Caenorhabditis elegans: one gene and its partners. Each later gene encodes a partner of the first gene's protein in a complex. Each region holds a gene or a part of one and is shown in the gene's direction. Other genes may lie near its edges.

Region 1 (4,709 bases):
CACGGCGAACACGCCGGACGGACTTGGTGTCCTACTGTATAATGGAGAAACCATCGTGATTTTTGCACAAGGAGTAGTAATGACACTAGGAACCAGTGAAAATGAGGTAATTTATTGCAGTATTTTTTTCATATCTTTTAAACACCAAAAATCTTCATTAGCACAAATGCTGAAAATTATAATCATATTTTCGAATTTATAGAATTTGGAAGGACGTCGAACGGGAACCATCTACCTCACATCACACAGAATCATTTTCATGCCAGACCCTGGAGATTGGCTGAAATCATTTGAAATTCCATTCAACAGTATGCAAGATGTTAACTTAAACCAGCCGATTTTCGGAGCCAACTACCTATGTGGAATCGCCTCGGCTGTTCAAGGAGGACAAATGCGCGGAGAGGTTAAATGGAGAATGACATTCAACAGAGGGGGATGTATTGAATTCGGGCAATCTCTATTGCAAGCAGTCGAAAGAGCTGTTCGAATGAGACCAGAGAATGCTCCACCTGCATATTCTCCACCAATTGGAGATTTCTACTCTGCACCGCCAGCTTATTATCAGCCGTCGCCGGATCAAGGTAAGATTTTTTGAACATTAAAAATAATCCTGAATTCGAAATTAAAATTACCTAAAAAATGTTAAGCGTAATCATTAGAGATTTGTATGAATTTGAACATTTTTCACTTTTTTGAAAAACGAAAAAAAAAGGAATCCAAGTTTGAAACATTTTTTAAAATTTTTTAAAGATTAATTTTTAAAAAAACGAGTTTTTTCTTTTTTTTTTCGATCACTTTTTGTTTAAGAGAGATTTTTTGCTAAAAATACCAAAAATCTTCAGTTCTGGTCAGACAGTTTTGCAAAAATGAAAACGTGCTCTAATGCAACTTTCTTCCACCTCGTTGCATTTTTGTTTCACAATTTTGTTGATTTTTGAATTGATTTTACCATCTTTCTTTGGATTTAATGGTTTTCTTATCAAATTCGTTAGAAAAATAATATTAAACCGCATTTAACTTTTTTTTTATTTTAAAATTATTCCCCGGTTAATCCGATTAATAATAGATTTCACATTTTCAGGACCAAATGGTTTCAATCCAACCACCGATTCGTTCCCAGATCAGCCGAACCCATCACGAGTTTTCATGAGCTCAGCACCACCACCATATCCAGGAATCGGACCAGAACGCGGCCCACATCCAACTGAAGAACTTCATGTTGCTGGACAATTTGAAGCACCACCAGCTTATGGTTCAGGAGAAACAGCCGATGGATTGAGGCGAAGAAATTAACTTGTAAATTTAACAACAAAAAATGACATTAGAGAAAGTGTTTAGTTCAAAATTATGGGGAAACACGTAGAAAACAAAGCCAATTTACCCATAATTTTTTTCCGCATCGAAAAATGATTCCAAATAAGCTCAGAAGTCTAGTTGCACACAAAAACTATCTAAAATTCCACCATTTATTTTTTGTTTTTTTTTTTAATTTTTGCACGTCTCTCTAAAAATCTCATGTGAATATAAGTAAAAGTTGTGATAAAACTATAAACTTTCGGTAGACTAAGTCTATGCCCTCTCTCTCTTGATGCCCCCTCTCGTTCCCAGGATAAAGTATATATGTATAAGTGGAATTATATCTCTTTCTCTGATTCACAGAACATTTATTTTATTTTCTCTTTTTTTTCGTTGAAAAACACAATTTTTCTTTTAATTGTAAATAAATAAATAATTTAAAATATTTATTAAGAACTTTATATTTTTTATTGATTTTTTCAAAACCATTTTTCAGTTTTCAGCTGAATTTACTATTTTGATTCAGATTATTTCTTTAATTTAGTTTTTTTTTCAATTACAGGGTTCAGAAAAAAGTCAATATGGCTTCGAATTTAACTGTCAATGTCCACCCGGGAGTCTACATGAATGTTGTCGACACTCATATGAGACGTACCAAGAGTTCTGCGAAAAATACAGGACAGGAAAAGTGCATGGGAACACTTATGGGATACTATGAGAAAGGATCGATTCAGGTAAAAATATTTATAATTACAGAAAAAAGAGCCTAATTTTTTGAAAAAACTGAAATTTTGCAAGCTTATTGGTGTCTGGAACTGTATTTAATCTAATTTTTTTAATTTTATGTAAATACCATCGACCGAAAAAGTATCTAAAACAACGAATAAAAACTCAAAATGACCGAATGCTCAAGTGCTCACACAAAAATATGCCAAAATTTTGAAAAAAGTATACTTTCAGCTAAAATCTTCAATTTTGCAAGCTTTCCCGTGTCACAAAGGTCGGAACTTAATAATATTCAATTATTACAATTTATTGCATTTTTGTGGAACTAGAAGCAAGTTCTGGCCGCTGTAACCCTGAAAAGTTTGCAAAATGGATGATTTTCGCTAATAATATTTTTTTTGGAATTCATGATATTTTCTCCAATTTTTATTTTCCAGGTCACAAATTGTTTCGCGATCCCTTTCAATGAGAGCAACGACGATTTGGAAATCGATGATCAATTCAATCAACAAATGATCTCTGCATTAAAGAAAACTTCTCCAAATGAGCAACCAGTTGGATGGTTCCTTACAACATCTGACATTACTTCTTCGTGTCTCATCTATCACGACTACTATGTACGTGTCATCACTGAAGCATCGGCTCGTCGTGAATCTCCACCAATTGTCGTTTTGACAATTGACACGACTTTCTCTGGAGATATGTCAAAGCGTATGCCAGTTCGTGCCTATCTTCGCTCAAAAGCCGGAATTCCTGGAGCTGCTGGACCACACTGTGCTATTTTCAACCCACTTCGTGTCGAATTAGCTGCATTCCCGGGAGAACTGGTTGCTATGCAACTTATCGAAAAAGCTTTGGATTCCAGAAGAAGAGAGGCAACTCTTGAAAGTGGATTGGAGCAATTGGAGACGAGCACAGCTCAGATGATTGAGTGGTTGGAGAGAATGTTGCAGTGAGTTTTAACATTTAAAATTATCTTAATTGGAGAATAAACCGTGATTTTCAGTTACGTGGAAGATGTTAACAAGAACGGTGAGAAGCCAGGAGATGCTCAAATCGGTCGTCAACTCATGGATATTGTCACTGCCTCGTCAAACAATATGCAGCCAGAGAAGCTCGATACTCTTGTCAAGAATACTCTTCGTGTAAGTTTTCAGCCAAAAATATTTAAAAAGCGAGAAATGAAAAGTTGTGTAATATTCGTACGTGATTTTGAAAATTTCGAATATCTTGATCAAAATAGTTTTTTTTAATAACCTCAAAAAGTTTTTTTGTTGGAAATTAGTAAAGTTTATACGTTTTTCAGTTTAGTACAGAATTGTTAGTTTTTTTTTCTCAAAAATTGAGGAAATTAAATCTTTAGCTAAAAACACGAAAAATCTGCAAATTTAGGGAATGCCTATACATTTTCTGTGCCGCGCGAAACCCGGTAGATGTCGGGATATGATATCCGCTACCCTCCCGAATTTGAAATTAGCGTTTCCAATTTTTTGAAATTTATGCATACAATTAAATTGTCTTTATTATTATCTCAATTAGAGCATTGCACAAACACATAAATAGAAACTTGTAAATAAAAAACTTGTGAAACCTATCTTCTCAATGACCAAAAACCATGAAAAATGGGTGTATACTCATGTAAACAATATGCCCGCGAGAAAAAGCAGTTGACGAGAATCTAAAAACAAAAAAAAGCTAAACCTCTTCAAATATTTGTTTTCTTCTTTTTCAGGACTACGTGATGGTTTCGTACCTTGCCAAATTGACTCAAACTCAACTTCAAGTTCACGAACGTCTTGTGTCGGCCTAATTTTTGTTCTCCACACTATAAACTCGTTTTTGTCCCGATTTTTTCTAATATATTTTTTTTTGGTTGGCGTTTGTTGTTTTTCTTTCCATCCATTTATATCATCCTTCTTCCAATTCTTAAAATATTTCTCCCCATGTTTTCTATCTATCTGCCTTTTTTTTTTAATGGATTGTCTGAAATTAGTATTTGTTGTTTTCTTTTTCTCATAATTTAGCCTTCTTATTGATTTGGTTTTAAAGAAAAATCAATGTTTGAAGGTTTCTGATGATGATCACTTTCTATCGGATAAACCTCGTTGTTAAAGGCGTCTGATGGGATGACTGAATTGTTTTTTGCATGAATTTCTATATCTGGGCTCGGAATAATCTGATTTTGAAATTATCACTAGAGCGTTCAGATCTACATGAGAAAATAATTTTGAAAAAATCGATAAAAAATGAACGATCGAGTGAAAATTCGATGGAAGGAGGCTAAGGAGAGAATTGGAAACGCATATCACGATTATGGACGGTAAATATTTCGAAAAATTATCATGGATTTTAACATAAATCCGAAAAAAAACGAGTGTCCATGTACGAGAGATTTTGTACTACACTCGGACAAGTGTGCATTTTACAAAATCATAGTTTCACAGTTTTTGGCTATTTTTCCTCATTCATTTTGCATTAAATATATACTTTTGCATTAAAATTTTTGCATTACTTGTCCGAGTGTAGTATAATTTTTTTCGACATTCGCATGCTTTTTGTGTCCAATTCATCAGTATTTCTTAATAGTCTATCTGAAAATTTTTGAATAAAGTAGAAGTATAGTTCTTAATAATTTCTCTAGCAAAAAAACCAAGTTTCCGAAAATAAAATTTTTCAGATTATGTGCC
Region 2 (5,466 bases), on another chromosome or scaffold:
CTAGATGAACTTACCGATGCTCCGAAAAGAAATCGAGTTTGTGAAATTATTTGCAATTGTCTGCGTACATTGAACAATTTCCTGATGATGTGGATTCCAACGCCCAATGGAGAAACGAAAACGGCTGGACCGAATGAAAAGCAGCAGGTCTGCAAATTCATCGAAATTGTACGTTTTGGAATTTGAAAAACGATATAAAAATGAATTAAATTATTTCAGGATATTCTGAAAAAACTGATGAGTTGTTTATCATGTGAAGGAATGGATACACCTGGTTTATTGGAACTTCGAAGTACAATTCTCCGATCTTTTATACTGTTACTCCGAACACCATTTGTTCCAAAAGACGGTGTTCTGAATGTTATTGATGAAAATCGGAAGGAAAATTTAATAGGACACATTTGTGCCGCCTATTCATGGGTTTTTCGTCAACCGAACAATACAAGAACTCAATCCACAAAGCAGCAACTTGTTGAACGTACCATAAGTTTATTGCTTGTGCTCATGGAGCAATGTGGAGCTGAAAAAGAGGTGGCACAGTACTCGTATTCAATTGATTGCCCATTAAATCTGCTGAACGGAAATCAAGTGAAACCAACGTTTATTCACAATGTGCTTGTTGTATGTGACAAGATTTTGGAGCACTGCCCGACGCGTGCGGATATTTGGACGATTGACAGGCCGATGTTGGAAGGACTGACGAATCATAGAAATTCAGATATAGGTATGTGTCTCGAAAATGTGTTCATAAATTAAATTACAATGCATTTTTTCAGCTAAAGCCGCGAATTCTCTGCTGAGTCGCTTCCCTGAAAACGACCTTCTTGCTGGTATTTTTTCAAATCGAGAATATTTCTGATTTAATGGATAAATCTGTCAACTCCATCTTTCATCCCAAAAATCCCCGTTCAAAGCCATTAATTCGTCTAGTTGGAAGCTGTTTTAGCGTGTACATAGTCGTATTATTGATTAAAATATGTTCTCTCTTCTTTTCTTCATTTTCTACCGGTCCCAAATTTCCTCATTCTTGACGATTTCATATGAATTCGAGTTTAGAACAAACAAAACGTTCCGATTTTCCTAATTTATAGCACATTTCTTCTCATTTTGCCCTCGGTTTATCTCTTTCTTTTTGTTGTTTCTTTGTTTACGTCTGTAGCATAATATTTTTGAATACAAAACATTTTCGCGATTATCTTTGCATTTTAACTATCAAATTCCTGTCTTATATACGTCTTTCTTCGATGTTCTTACGTTGAATAGAAAATAAAATTATAAAACTTTTTAAATGTTGGATTGATTTACTGAATACTCGGTTCATATATAAGTTATTTAGAGACTATTCTCGTTCTGTAAAATTAACCTGAAATTGTGGAATTGTGATTAAATAATAAATTATTATTTAAATCTCCGCGCAAATGCCCACTGGCGCAAGTGGCGAGTGCTGACGCATCTCCCGTGCACGCGAAACGCGCCAGTAAGGTCTTGCAACGATTTTCTTATGTTCCACTTCCACTTAAATTTATTTCAGCTAAATATTGACCCATTAGCTGTTTTTTGAATTGTTTTCAAAGGGAAAATCGTTTTATTCATTTTAAATTTTAAATAATATTGGAATTTCTGTCTAATTGTGTATCTACTGCTTGTTTGCTTCTTGTTTTGGGATTTCATAATGTCAATTTTGTTTCAGCAATGTCTCGCTTCTTCCATGCTAAGGAGGACTCTGATTCCGACACTTCGTCCAGCGAGGATGAGGTAGAGGATCAAAAAGTGAACAAAAGCGCGAAATTTCGGTAATTATAATCTCCAAAGTAATTCCAAAAGATTGATTAATCTTTCAGCGATGATCTCGATTTCATGGCCGGTCCTGAAGAAGATGAGAAGCGTGTTGTTCGTGCCCAAAAGGACAAAAAATTCGATGAGCTGAAAGGAATTATCAAGCAAAATCGAGATGCAAAGAGCAACAAAGATCTGAACAGACTTCTAACAGGTTTTGATTCTCTGGCCAAAGCTTATGATAAGTCCAAGACGGTCTTTCAACGTCAGAATGTCGCAAATCCAAGATTTTACATAAGGTGAGATATATTTTTAATTTACAGTCACATCATAAAATAAAATGCTAATGAAAACTTAGTAGTTGATATAAAATATTTCAGGTCTCTTGTGGAAATCGAAGACTACGTAAATAAATTATGGGATGATAAAGATGCTAAATCTGCTCTTTCGAAGAACAACGCAAAAGCTCTTCCACCTCTTCGTCAAAAACTGAAAAAATACATCAAGGATCAACAACTGCAAGATCTTGTTACCGATTATCGCGTTAATCCTGACGAGGATGGATATGAAACTCCAGAAGATGAAGACGACGATGATTTTGGAGAGGTTTCTGAATCGAAGGCTGAAAAGTCACCTGGAAAACCATCTGAGAAAGCTGCAGTGAGCGATAGTGACAGTGACAGCGACGATGACGACTCCTCTAACTGGTCTTCTGAACCAGAATCCAATTCTTCTGATGACGAAGACAGTGTGACTAAGATGGAGCAACTTCGTAGGTATTTCTTGAAAAAAGAATTCCGCGTGGAGAGCAAAGATGACAAGAAAGAAAAGAAGAAGAGAGTTATCAGAGTCAAAGAAGCTGTCGAGGAAGACGATGATGCGGATTGGACTCCAGTTAATCGTGAGAAGTCTGTTGTTCACTTTGATCCCAAGGAAGAAGTTACTCATGACGTTATGATTAAGAAACTCAATGAGGTTATGTCGGCTCGTGGAAAACGAACGACAGATCGTAATCAACATGTTGCTAATCTTCGAAAACTTTTGGAGGTATCGGAAGAGAAAGAACTTGGTCTAGGAATCAACGTTAAAATCAGTTTCTGCATAATCTCGGCTCTTTTCGAATTGAACGCTAAAATTAGTGATCACATGGAGTACGAAACATTCATGACCACTCTGCAAACCGTCAACAGCTTGCTCGATCTTCTCATCGGAACTGATCGTGTAAAGTTATCTGTGACATATGCTGAAGAAGATGAAAATCTGAAGGTAATACTTGCATTCCTAAAATTAATAAAAATCCTAATATTTGCAGGATGACACTCAAGAGTATCGCATTCAAGGAAGTATTCTGATTGCTGTGCAAAGATTGGACGGAGAGTTGGCTAAAATTCTTCAAAACGCCGATTGTCATTCCAATGATTATATCGAGAAGTTGAAGGCCGAGAAGGATATGTGCTCACTCATTGAAAAGGCCGAGAAGTACGTTGAACTTCGTAACGATTCTGGCATTTTCGATAAACACGAAGTTTGCAAAGTGTACATGATGCGCATCGAGCATGCCTACTACAAATATCAAGATCAAAATGAGGAGGATGCTGGAAAGTTGATGGATTACTTGTGTAATAAGATCTATACACTTGATGATGAGAAACGATTGAGACAACGTGCTATGCTCTGCCATGTTTACTATCTGGCTGTTCATGACAAGTGGCACCGCGCCAGAGATCTTCTTCTTATGAGTCACATGCAAGCTATCGTTGATCATTCTGATGTCGACACTCAAATCCTCTACAACAGAACTATCTGCCAACTCGGTCTCTGCGCTTTCCGACACGGTTTCATTCGCGAAGCTCATCAAGGACTATCTGAAATTCAAAATACCCAACGTGCCAAGGAGTTGCTTGCTCAAGCTGTTGGAACTCGTCAGCACGAAAAGACTGCTGAACAAGAGAAGATTGATCGTTCCCGTCAAGTTCCATATCATATGCACATCAATGTTGAACTTATGGAGTGTGTCTATCTGATCTGTTCGATGCTTCTCGAAATTCCACACATGGCTAGTTGCGAATTCGAAATGCGTCGTCGTATGCTCAGCAGAAGTTTCCATTACCAATTGAAGCAAAGCGAGAAAGCTTCTCTCACTGGACCACCAGAGAATACCCGTGAACATGTTGTCGCCGCATCGAAAGCAATGTTGAATGGAGATTGGAAAAAGTGTCAAGACTATATCGTCAATGACAAGATGAACCAGAAGGTCTGGAATCTTTTCCATAACGCTGAGACTGTTAAGGGAATGGTTGTGAGACGTATTCAAGAGGAATCTCTCAGAACTTATTTGCTCACATACTCTACAGTTTATGCCACTGTTTCGCTCAAGAAGCTTGCGGATTTGTTCGAACTTTCAAAGAAAGATGTTCATAGCATCATCAGGTATTTGTAATATTTTACTAGACAGTACATAATTTTTTTTTATTTTTTCAGTAAAATGATCATCCAAGAGGAACTTTCGGCTACACTTGACGAGCCCACCGACTGTCTCATCATGCACCGTGTTGAACCTTCCAGACTTCAAATGCTTGCTCTCAACTTGTCTGACAAACTTCAAACTCTTGCCGAAAACAATGAACAAATTCTGGAGCCGCGCACTGGACGTGGTGGTTATCAAGGTCCAGGATCGTGGTTTCCAGGAAGGAACGAGCGGCAAGGAGATAAGCAGAAAGGATCTGGTGGATACCAAGGAGAACGACGTGGAGGACAAGGACAAGACGGAAAGCGAGGAAATTGGGGATCTCAAGGTGGTCAGCAACGTCGTCATCCTCAAAAGCCACGAGCCTTCTAAATATCCATTTTTCAATCGTCTCTCCCATTCGTGGAACCCGCTAATACGCCTTTCATGGCGCCTGCAATTAGTCTCAAAAACTTTTTGCAGGCGCCAATACTTGTTGAATCTTTTATTTAATTGATCAGTTTTTTTGGTAATCCCCCACCCTTTCCCACTTTTCCTTGTTCAGTGTGAGATCTGAACTTTAAAGCTCTCATTTTTCGTTTCCGGTTAGTAGTGTTTAAGTTATACTCTTTCCATACTGTTTTGTTTTTGCTAATTATTTATATTGGGTTGCCGGATATTATTTTAATGAAATATTTAATTTGATTCGTCCAATTTTAAGTAATTTTTTATGAGCCCCGGTTCTGTCCAATCAGTTATTTTCTCAGATCCAACAATAAAAGTAACAAAAAATTAACATAGAATTCATATTTCAGGTTACTGGAAACATAAATTTCGCCTCAAAATGGGTAAAAGGAAGGCATTCATTGATAAGAAAGCCAGTCAAAGTTTTCGATTGGTTCCGGATAATAGGGAAAGAAGTGAACGATTCAAGCCAACTCAAGAACATTTGGAGGAACAGCAAAAGTATGGAGTCTACTACGACGATGATTATGATTATTTGCAGCACATGCGAGCTGTTAATGAGGTTTGTCATCTTAAAATCAATTTGATCAAATACCGAAACTTAAAAAAAAGTGTTTGTTTTTCGATTTTTCAATGAAATCAAAAGATTTTAGGATATGTCAAAAAATAGCTTAAAATTTTGGTCTTTGTACTTCTTTTAAGTAAAAAATTTCTATGTTTTTTTAATCAGCATTTTTTACATTATTTCATAAAATTGAATTTTATGGATGATTAAAAAA
Region 3 (3,839 bases), on another chromosome or scaffold:
ACCAAAACAGTTTTGAACAAATTTTAGCGGTTATTTGAAAATTGAGATCTAAAAATTGTTTGCCTTTTTTATTTTGATATCTTGGTCAATTTCAGTGTATTCTGACATAACAGCAACTGGCTTAAATTGAATTAATAGTTATCGTTTTTCCATACAACAAAATCAAGGCATTCTTCGATAAAATTGACGGTTGCAATTTGTCCATCGTCGCTCTCAATATCCCATCCAAGTGTACAATCCAATTCGTCTATTTTGTATCTGAATGTTATTATTTTTCAAATAAAATAATTTAGCTTTTTTCCTTTAATCTCTACAGTAGATAGGTAGCAAGAATTTCTTCAATTAGTATGGCACCCCATCGTTCACGGTTGAGAGCTTATATCTCGGTTGTTTTCAAAAATAATTAACTGATGAAATATTTGGTAGTTCTTTTTATATCGTTTTGTAGTTAATAGTTTTATGATATCTTTGAAATGAACCGAGATATAACCTTTCAAAGTAAAGTAGTCTGTTGAACTAATAGAGGAAATACGGTATGTCAAGATCTTTAGAAACAATATGTGTAACCAAGACCCACAAGTCAAACTATATAGTCAGGTTTTGTTTCAACTGGGTGGCACACTACCCTCAAGAATCAGGGCTCTTCATGTAGCCCACTCGCCAGCTCTACGACAAATAATTTATATTCTCACTTGAACACTTTTGGTCTTCGCTTTCCATTCCACGGTCTGTGAATAATTCGATGCATTACTCCTTCATAGTTTTGAGGTCCATATGAATTGAATCGTATTCTTCGTAGATTCGGCATTCCTCCTGACATCAAATACCCGAATTTAATGTTGATCAAACCGAAATGGGGCAACCTGACACCACATGAATTTACGGTCTCGTCTGTTCCCAAAAATTAATAATAAAGCATTCTAAATTTTACTGTTCGCTTTTCTGTGCATTTCAAAATTTGAAATTTCATAAAACTTGTGTCTCTGACACATCGGTAAAATTTGGCACACTATTATTGAGATCGTTGCGGGACCCACTCGAAAAATTAATATGTGATTTTAAACTGACATTTCACAATTACAATATTTAAGCATTGCTTTAAAGCCACACAATGTTTTTCGGGGTGGGTCTCGATACGGGCTCGGGTCTTAATATCTTGTAACTCTTCCTAATCCCAGGAACATTATGATTCGTTCGTAATTTCTCAATTTGAATATTTTAAATTAAAAAACTTTTAACTGAAATTTTAGAACCAAAAAACTCCGAAATATTTTTCAAATGTCGCAAATTGCAGTTTTCGGTTATTCTTCTCGTAGTTCTACTTCTCGCAGTTCTCATTTCGCTGGTGGCTCGTGTTGGCAGGCAGTAGCAACGACACTCCGATATTCCATAGCGCGCGTTGTTTATCATTTCCTCCTTTCCCGGCGAATTTCTCCTAATTTCTCGATTTTCTTTCTGCAATTTCATTGTTTTTGTTTTATTTATGTTTTCCGTTAAGAAAATTGATTGGAGTTTTATTAGAACATATTACTATACTAATACGCTTATTTTACAGGTAAAAATGTCGACATTCGACCTGACTCAGCGCATGGCGCCTTTTCTCGATCTTCATTTGATCATTCCGCTCTTGGAGTTCATCGAACCACGAGGAGTAAGATTTAAACAATAAATTGTTGATTCTGAAATAGCTGAATTTATTTATATCAATGATAATTGCAGATTTACGATGAGAAATCCCTGACCGAAATGCACCGCCAGCTTTTGACCAAGACCAATATGATTGATAGTGTTATAGAGACCTACAATGGAAAACCTATTCCGGCTGCAATTGAGGCTAAGAAGAAGCAAATTATCAAGGAGAGAGATGAGCTGAAAAGCAAGGTGGACTCCGTTGTTGCCATTTTGGAAATACCGGAAGTCAAGGAAATGATGGATAACAACAGAGAAAGAGATGGAAATGTCCGTATTTTGGAGCATCTCACTCAAAACCACAATGTACGTTTTTGCTTTGCAGTTTCGAAAATAATCTTAATTCTTGCAGTTCACAGTAGACATGGTCGATACCCTCTTCAAGTACAGCAAGTTCATGTACGAATGCGGAAATTACACCGTCGCATCCGTGTGCCTTTACTACTACCGCAACCTTGTCAATCAAGCGGATCCAAACTATTTGAACGCTCTTTACGGAAAGTTGGCCAGTGAAATTCTGCTCCAAGAATGGGAACATGCTCGTGACGATTTGCTGAAACTTCGTGCTTACATCGATGCTAATCCATTCGACACGGAATGGGAACTTGTTACGCAACGTGCGTGGCTTATGCACTGGGCACTTTTCGTCTACTACAATTATCCAAAAGGGCGTGATGAGATTATCGAAATGTTCTTGAACCAGCAACCTTATTTGAATGCAATCCAAGTTTTGGCGCCACATTTGCTCCGCTATCTGGCTGTTGCCGTTGTTACCAGCAAAAGCCGCCAGAAGAACAGCTTGAAAGATTTGGTGAAGGTCATTGACATCGTGAGTTTAACTATTTTCTATATGAAAATATGATTAATTATTTGTTTTTCTACAGGAACGCCATAGTTACAAGGATCCCGTCACTGATTTCCTCACCTGTCTCTACATCAAATATGATTTCGACGAGGCTCAAGAGATGCTTCAAAAGTGCGAAGAGGTTCTCTCCAATGATTTCTTCCTGACTGCTGTCCTTGGAGATTTCCGCGAGTCTGCACGCCTTCTCATTTTCGAGATGTTCTGCCGCATTCATCAGTGCATTACCATAGAAATGCTAGCACGACGATTGAATATGAGCCAAGAGGAAGCTGAACGCTGGATTGTTGACTTGATCAGAACGTATCGTATCGAAGGAGCTAAAATTGACAGCAAGTTGGGACAAGTGGTGATGGGTGTCAAATCCGTCAGCATCCACGAGCAAGTCATGGAAAACACGAAGAGATTGACCCTCCGCGCTCAACAAATCGCCCTTCAATTGGAAAAAGGTCGTCAAGACAAAGTCAAGGCGACTTAGGCTTTACAAGTTCTTCCGGTTTTGAATGTTTTTTCCTTTTTCTTCATCTGATGCTGTTCTGAAAATTGAGATGTGGCAAACACGGAGATTAAGACTGTCATCTCTCAGTTTTCAGTATTATTTTTCTTTCTTATTTGTTCAGCTCCTCGGTTTTTTACGAGGACTACTCGAATTCTGTCTTTTCTAAACTTTCCTTATATCCCTGTTGTTTCTTTTTGTTGTCTCTGACCCTTCTTTCGTTAGTGCAGGGGCTGGAGGTTCGGTTCTAATTGGTTAAAATAATATATTTTCTCTTTTATCATGGTTTGATTATTGTTAGAATCTAGGTTTATGAAACCTTTCAATATATATTTATTGCCGTTGCCGAGAAATTGTTTGAAATTATTTTTTGTGAGGAAAAACACTTCCATCTGTATATTTTGTCATTTCTGTTGAATTTGCCTTACTTTTTCGCTAATTACAGAAATATTTAAGCCATAGGTTCGATTTTGCCGTTTAAAAATTAAATCTCCAAAAATACACATTTTCGCCAATTCACAGTTTTTATGAAATTAAATAATTTATCTCACTCTTTTTCAGTATGTCAATGTTACGGCGTCCATTAACACAATTAGAATTGTGTGAGGACGATATCCAATGGCTGACAGATCAACTGAACAAGAGGGTACTTCCAGCTGTGATCGTGCCAAAATGCGAAATGATGGATATTGACGAAATGGAGCCGATGGATCAGAGTGAGCCTCCACGTGGCATAACTAGGAGAAATCTCAGATCGGCGGATAGAAGTGAGATGATGATTTATTTAATTTT
Region 4 (3,765 bases), 890 kb from region 1:
ATGTCTCCGTTCTGACGCGGCGCCACTGGTGTAGTGAATGTGTAGTTTGTGATGGTCACAGTTAGACTGGCCTTGTGGGGGAATTTCTATAACTTCTGGGTTTGATCTCGTCTGTTAATATAGATAAATAGAGAACAAAGGGATGATCGGTGATCTTTCAAGACCCGATTGATAACGGCCGGAGTGACGTTGAAACGGAAAAAGGACGTGACCCGAAAAAAGAAGGGATTGTTTACAAACTACACAAAACACAGATTTATAATGACTGGTTGGGTAGACATCTTTCGGAAGGGATCCGGATTGAGAAGGATATTCTAAAAGAAAAGATGAAGGGGAATCTATAGGTGAAATAGGGATTACAATCAACGAAAGGAATATTGCAATCCAAACTGTAACTCTAAAATTTCAGGTTCGCACTCTCATTCTTGCTGTTCATGAATACACTCAGAAACCAGTAAACATCATTGCTTGCTCCATGGGATCTCCAATTACCAGAAAAGCTATTCTTGGAGGACACTGTGTTGATAGTGGAGTCAATTTGGGACGCCCAATTAATCATCTAATTCATAATTATGTTTCTGTTGGTGGAGCAAATCACGGAGCTATTATGTGCGCCAAGCAGCCATTTGTGAATGGAATCTGTAGTTTAACACATGGTTTGGATTGCCGTTCCAAGTTCTTACAAGAGATCAACTCACAGTAAGTTTCGCAAAAAAAGTATCCCAGCACAGGGAATTGAACTCATGCAGGTGTGCGTGAAAGGCAAAACTTTTAGCCACTAAGCCAGCAAGGCTTTTCATTTTTTGGGTATACTAGGGCATACTTAAATTTAATTACGTTGTTTTCTGTACACATAAACATTAATTTCATGATTTTACAAGTCAACATTTTTTTCAGGCCGTTCCAATACGGAAAGAACATGTTCGCCATTTATTCCGTAGCTGACGAAGTTATTGGACTCAGAAATACGTGTGGAGAGATGTCCTCACCATTAGAAGGAGCCACTTCAATCGTCAAAACTAGACTAATGCATGGAGCAGTTATTGGTGGAACTACAGAAGATCAATGGAGGGCTCTTCAAACCTCATAAAAACAAAATCTCACCAAAAATACTAATTGACATCAAATTTCACTTGTGATCTCTTTAATTTCCTTGTTTATATTGATTCGAACTCGTTGCTTTCATTCAAAACTTTGTGTGTATATTGTTCAAAAGTTTAATAAATCAGTACAATCGTTGATTAAATTGGTATTTTGAACGAAAATGATCAGAATGTTAAATTCGTCCAAGTGATCAAGTCCATCAGGCGACTTGTAAGAATTCTCATAAGAATAGAGATAGGAAACTGCTATATTTCGCAGATCAATCTAGACACATGATACAATGTTGTGATTTTCTCCGAAAACGAAGATATTTATTATTTTCTTCAGAAATCTCTTCCGATGAGACTGAATAATCTGTGAAAACCGGAGCGGCGGCGCCATTTGGCTTTTGGGCAATACGGTGCGCAATTCTGCAAACACATGATCCCACGCGCAAATGCACAGATTTCCCAATGCGTCGTTGTTTCCCAAATTTTCGATTTTCGGGATATTTCTACATTTTTAAAAGATTTCCAGCCGTGTTTTTGTTGTAGAATATTTTTTTTACATATTTATAGTTTGTTTTTATAGATATTTGCTAAAAACTATGAATCTAGTTGAATATTCGCTTATTCTGGAAAAAAAAATCAAATACTTTAAAATCTACATGTTTTGAAGAGCTGTTTCTTTTTAATTCTGAAGTTTGTTAAACCATTTATTTGAAATTTTTTCTTATTTTATATTGCTAAAAACATAATCAATAGTTTTTCAGGTAGTAAAGTTACAGCTATGACTGGCATTAACGCGTGAGTTTTCACCCTCGAATAATTATTTACGTAAAGAAAGTTTCAGAATGGCTCCCGCTCCAGAAGTTGTAAGCTGGGCTGAGGCCGTTGAGCAAGACAGTAAGTTTTTCATTTCTCGTCTTCAAGAATATTTACGTGAACTTTCACGGTTTTCGCATTTGGAGTGCAACCGCCTAACAAAACGAGTCATTTCTGTATGAACTGATGAACGCTTTTGCAGACGCCCCACACATCCAGGAAGGAGCTGATGGAACACGTACCGAAACAGCTTTCACTGAGGTTGATGGAGTAAGATGGAAGGTTTGTTATCCGATGGCCAAAAAATTCGCCTTACAGAATTCTCGAGTTATGCTCTAGAATTCTTTCAATTCCAAATTTCAGGTTGTGACACAGTTCAAAGTTATCAACAAACGTGTACCAAAAGTCGTCGCTGATCGCAAAAAATGGGTGAAATTCGGAAGTTGTAAGGGAGAGCCAGCAGGACCCCAAGTTGCCACAACTTACGTGGCTGAAGAAGTCGATATGCAATTCACAAGAAATCGCGCAGGAGAGCAGATTCTTGACGTTCAAGAAGACAAACAGACTGCTAAAACTACAAGCCGTGAGCATTGCCGTCATTGCAAAGGAAACGACCATTGGAGTACTCATTGTCCTTACAAGGTCATGTACCAATTGGACGAGGAAGCTGATGCTGACAAGGATACTGAAAAGGATAGAATGGCAATGGGAATGCGTCCTGATGGAAGACAAATCGATAGAAATCGGTAAGCATTCAAAATACTGTAATCTAAGTTGCCCAAAAAATCTTGATGATTGAATAATTTATGAACTATTTTTAAAACATACTTTCAGATCCGATGAGAATACATGCCGTGTCACCAATCTTCCGCAAGAGATGAACGAAGACGAACTTCGTGATTTGTTCGGAAAGATTGGAAGAGTCATCCGAATCTTCATTGCCCGTGACAAAGTCACTGGTCTCCCGAAAGGATTCGCCTTCGTTACATTTGAATCAAGAGATGACGCCGCCCGTGCAATTGCAGAACTCAATGATATCCGAATGTACCATATGGTTCTCAAAGTCGAATGGACACGTCCGAGCAACTAATCCGTTTTCTGATTTATTTATGTTATGCGTACTTGGATGTTTTCCCGCTGTTTGGTTCTTCATAATTTCGTAGCTAGTGTCTGTCTAAACTGAAAATTACTGTAGACCAATTCGATGTTTGTTGTTCTTTCCTATTGAAATCATAATTTTTACTTTCTATGGTTATCAGAGTTGGCAAGTGAAGTTTATTTTCACGAAGGCAGTTCTAGCTATGAAAATTGTTGGTATTTCCTTTTCTTTCTTCAATGATAAATCTATCTCTTCCTGGTTATTTTTTCGTTCTATTTTTCCAATCGAGTTGGGTTTCTGTCCAATGTAAAATATCATAGTTTGAATAAAAATCTGATGGCTAAAAATTTTCAAACGCAATAGAACATTTTATAACTCAAAAATTCCAGATGGGCTTCTTGAAGATTCTCCGTAAGCAACGTGCTCGGGAACGCGAGATGAGAATATTAATTCTTGGATTAGACAACGCTGGAAAGACTACTTTAATGAAAAAATTCCTCGACGAGCCGACTGATACAATTGAACCAACATTAGGATTTGATATCAAAACCGTGCATTTCAAAGATTTTCAACTAAACTTATGGGATGTTGGCGGACAGAAAAGTCTAAGATCTTATTGGAAGAATTATTTCGAATCCACAGATGCTTTAATTTGGGTGGTAGATTCGTCAGATAGAGGTAGAAACAAATATTTAGGATACATTCAAATTTATAAAAACTTTTTTCAGAGCGTCTTCTACAATGCTCCGAAGAACTCAA

Evidence for each region.
Region 2: eif-3.F (region 1) and eif-3.C share a complex: the UniProt entries of both Caenorhabditis elegans proteins name them as parts of the eukaryotic translation initiation factor 3 (eIF-3) complex.
Region 3: eif-3.F (region 1) and eif-3.E share a complex: the UniProt entries of both Caenorhabditis elegans proteins name them as parts of the eukaryotic translation initiation factor 3 (eIF-3) complex.
Region 4: eif-3.F (region 1) and eif-3.G share a complex: the UniProt entries of both Caenorhabditis elegans proteins name them as parts of the eukaryotic translation initiation factor 3 (eIF-3) complex.

The regions. Positions count from the first base shown.
Region 1 is NC_003280.10:9,329,785-9,334,493, forward strand, and holds eif-3.F (Eukaryotic translation initiation factor 3 subunit F), read left to right. Parts: upstream 1-1,858; 5' UTR 1,859-1,877; coding exon 1,878-2,030; intron 2,031-2,459; coding exon 2,460-2,974; intron 2,975-3,028; coding exon 3,029-3,167; intron 3,168-3,754; coding exon 3,755-3,832; 3' UTR 3,833-4,186; downstream 4,187-4,709. Other genes in the region: wbp-2 (GRAM domain-containing protein), read left to right, coding at 1-106, 203-581, 1,082-1,293; scp-1 (Sterol regulatory element-binding protein cleavage-activating protein), read left to right, coding at 4,269-4,342, 4,700-4,709. UniProt on the Caenorhabditis elegans protein: Component of the eukaryotic translation initiation factor 3 (eIF-3) complex, which is involved in protein synthesis of a specialized repertoire of mRNAs and, together with other initiation factors, stimulates binding of mRNA and methionyl-tRNAi to the 40S ribosome.
Region 2 is NC_003279.8:9,975,887-9,981,352, reverse strand, and holds eif-3.C (Eukaryotic translation initiation factor 3 subunit C), read left to right. Parts: upstream 1-1,690; 5' UTR 1,691-1,692; coding exon 1,693-1,793; intron 1,794-1,841; coding exon 1,842-2,075; intron 2,076-2,156; coding exon 2,157-3,042; intron 3,043-3,088; coding exon 3,089-4,206; intron 4,207-4,257; coding exon 4,258-4,615; 3' UTR 4,616-4,927; downstream 4,928-5,466. Other genes in the region: Beta-catenin homolog sys-1, read left to right, coding at 1-168, 220-724, 777-859; T23D8.3 (Protein LTV1 homolog), read left to right, coding at 5,067-5,249. UniProt on the Caenorhabditis elegans protein: Component of the eukaryotic translation initiation factor 3 (eIF-3) complex, which is involved in protein synthesis of a specialized repertoire of mRNAs and, together with other initiation factors, stimulates binding of mRNA and methionyl-tRNAi to the 40S ribosome.
Region 3 is NC_003279.8:10,639,998-10,643,836, reverse strand, and holds eif-3.E (Eukaryotic translation initiation factor 3 subunit E), read left to right. Parts: upstream 1-1,555; 5' UTR 1,556-1,561; coding exon 1,562-1,651; intron 1,652-1,719; coding exon 1,720-1,995; intron 1,996-2,041; coding exon 2,042-2,518; intron 2,519-2,573; coding exon 2,574-3,029; 3' UTR 3,030-3,314; downstream 3,315-3,839. Other genes in the region: B0511.17 (DUF4283 domain-containing protein), read right to left, coding at 132-258, 693-808; cdc-26 (Anaphase-promoting complex subunit CDC26), read left to right, coding at 3,610-3,814. UniProt on the Caenorhabditis elegans protein: Component of the eukaryotic translation initiation factor 3 (eIF-3) complex, which is involved in protein synthesis of a specialized repertoire of mRNAs and, together with other initiation factors, stimulates binding of mRNA and methionyl-tRNAi to the 40S ribosome.
Region 4 is NC_003280.10:8,440,912-8,444,676, forward strand, and holds eif-3.G (Eukaryotic translation initiation factor 3 subunit G), read left to right. Parts: upstream 1-1,855; 5' UTR 1,856-1,872; coding exon 1,873-1,889; intron 1,890-1,935; coding exon 1,936-1,988; intron 1,989-2,109; coding exon 2,110-2,189; intron 2,190-2,270; coding exon 2,271-2,653; intron 2,654-2,741; coding exon 2,742-2,997; 3' UTR 2,998-3,264; downstream 3,265-3,765. Other genes in the region: lips-10 (LIPaSe related), read left to right, coding at 410-699, 898-1,090; evl-20 (ADP-ribosylation factor-like protein 2), read left to right, coding at 3,396-3,684, 3,735-3,765. UniProt on the Caenorhabditis elegans protein: RNA-binding component of the eukaryotic translation initiation factor 3 (eIF-3) complex, which is involved in protein synthesis of a specialized repertoire of mRNAs and, together with other initiation factors, stimulates binding of mRNA and methionyl-tRNAi to the 40S ribosome.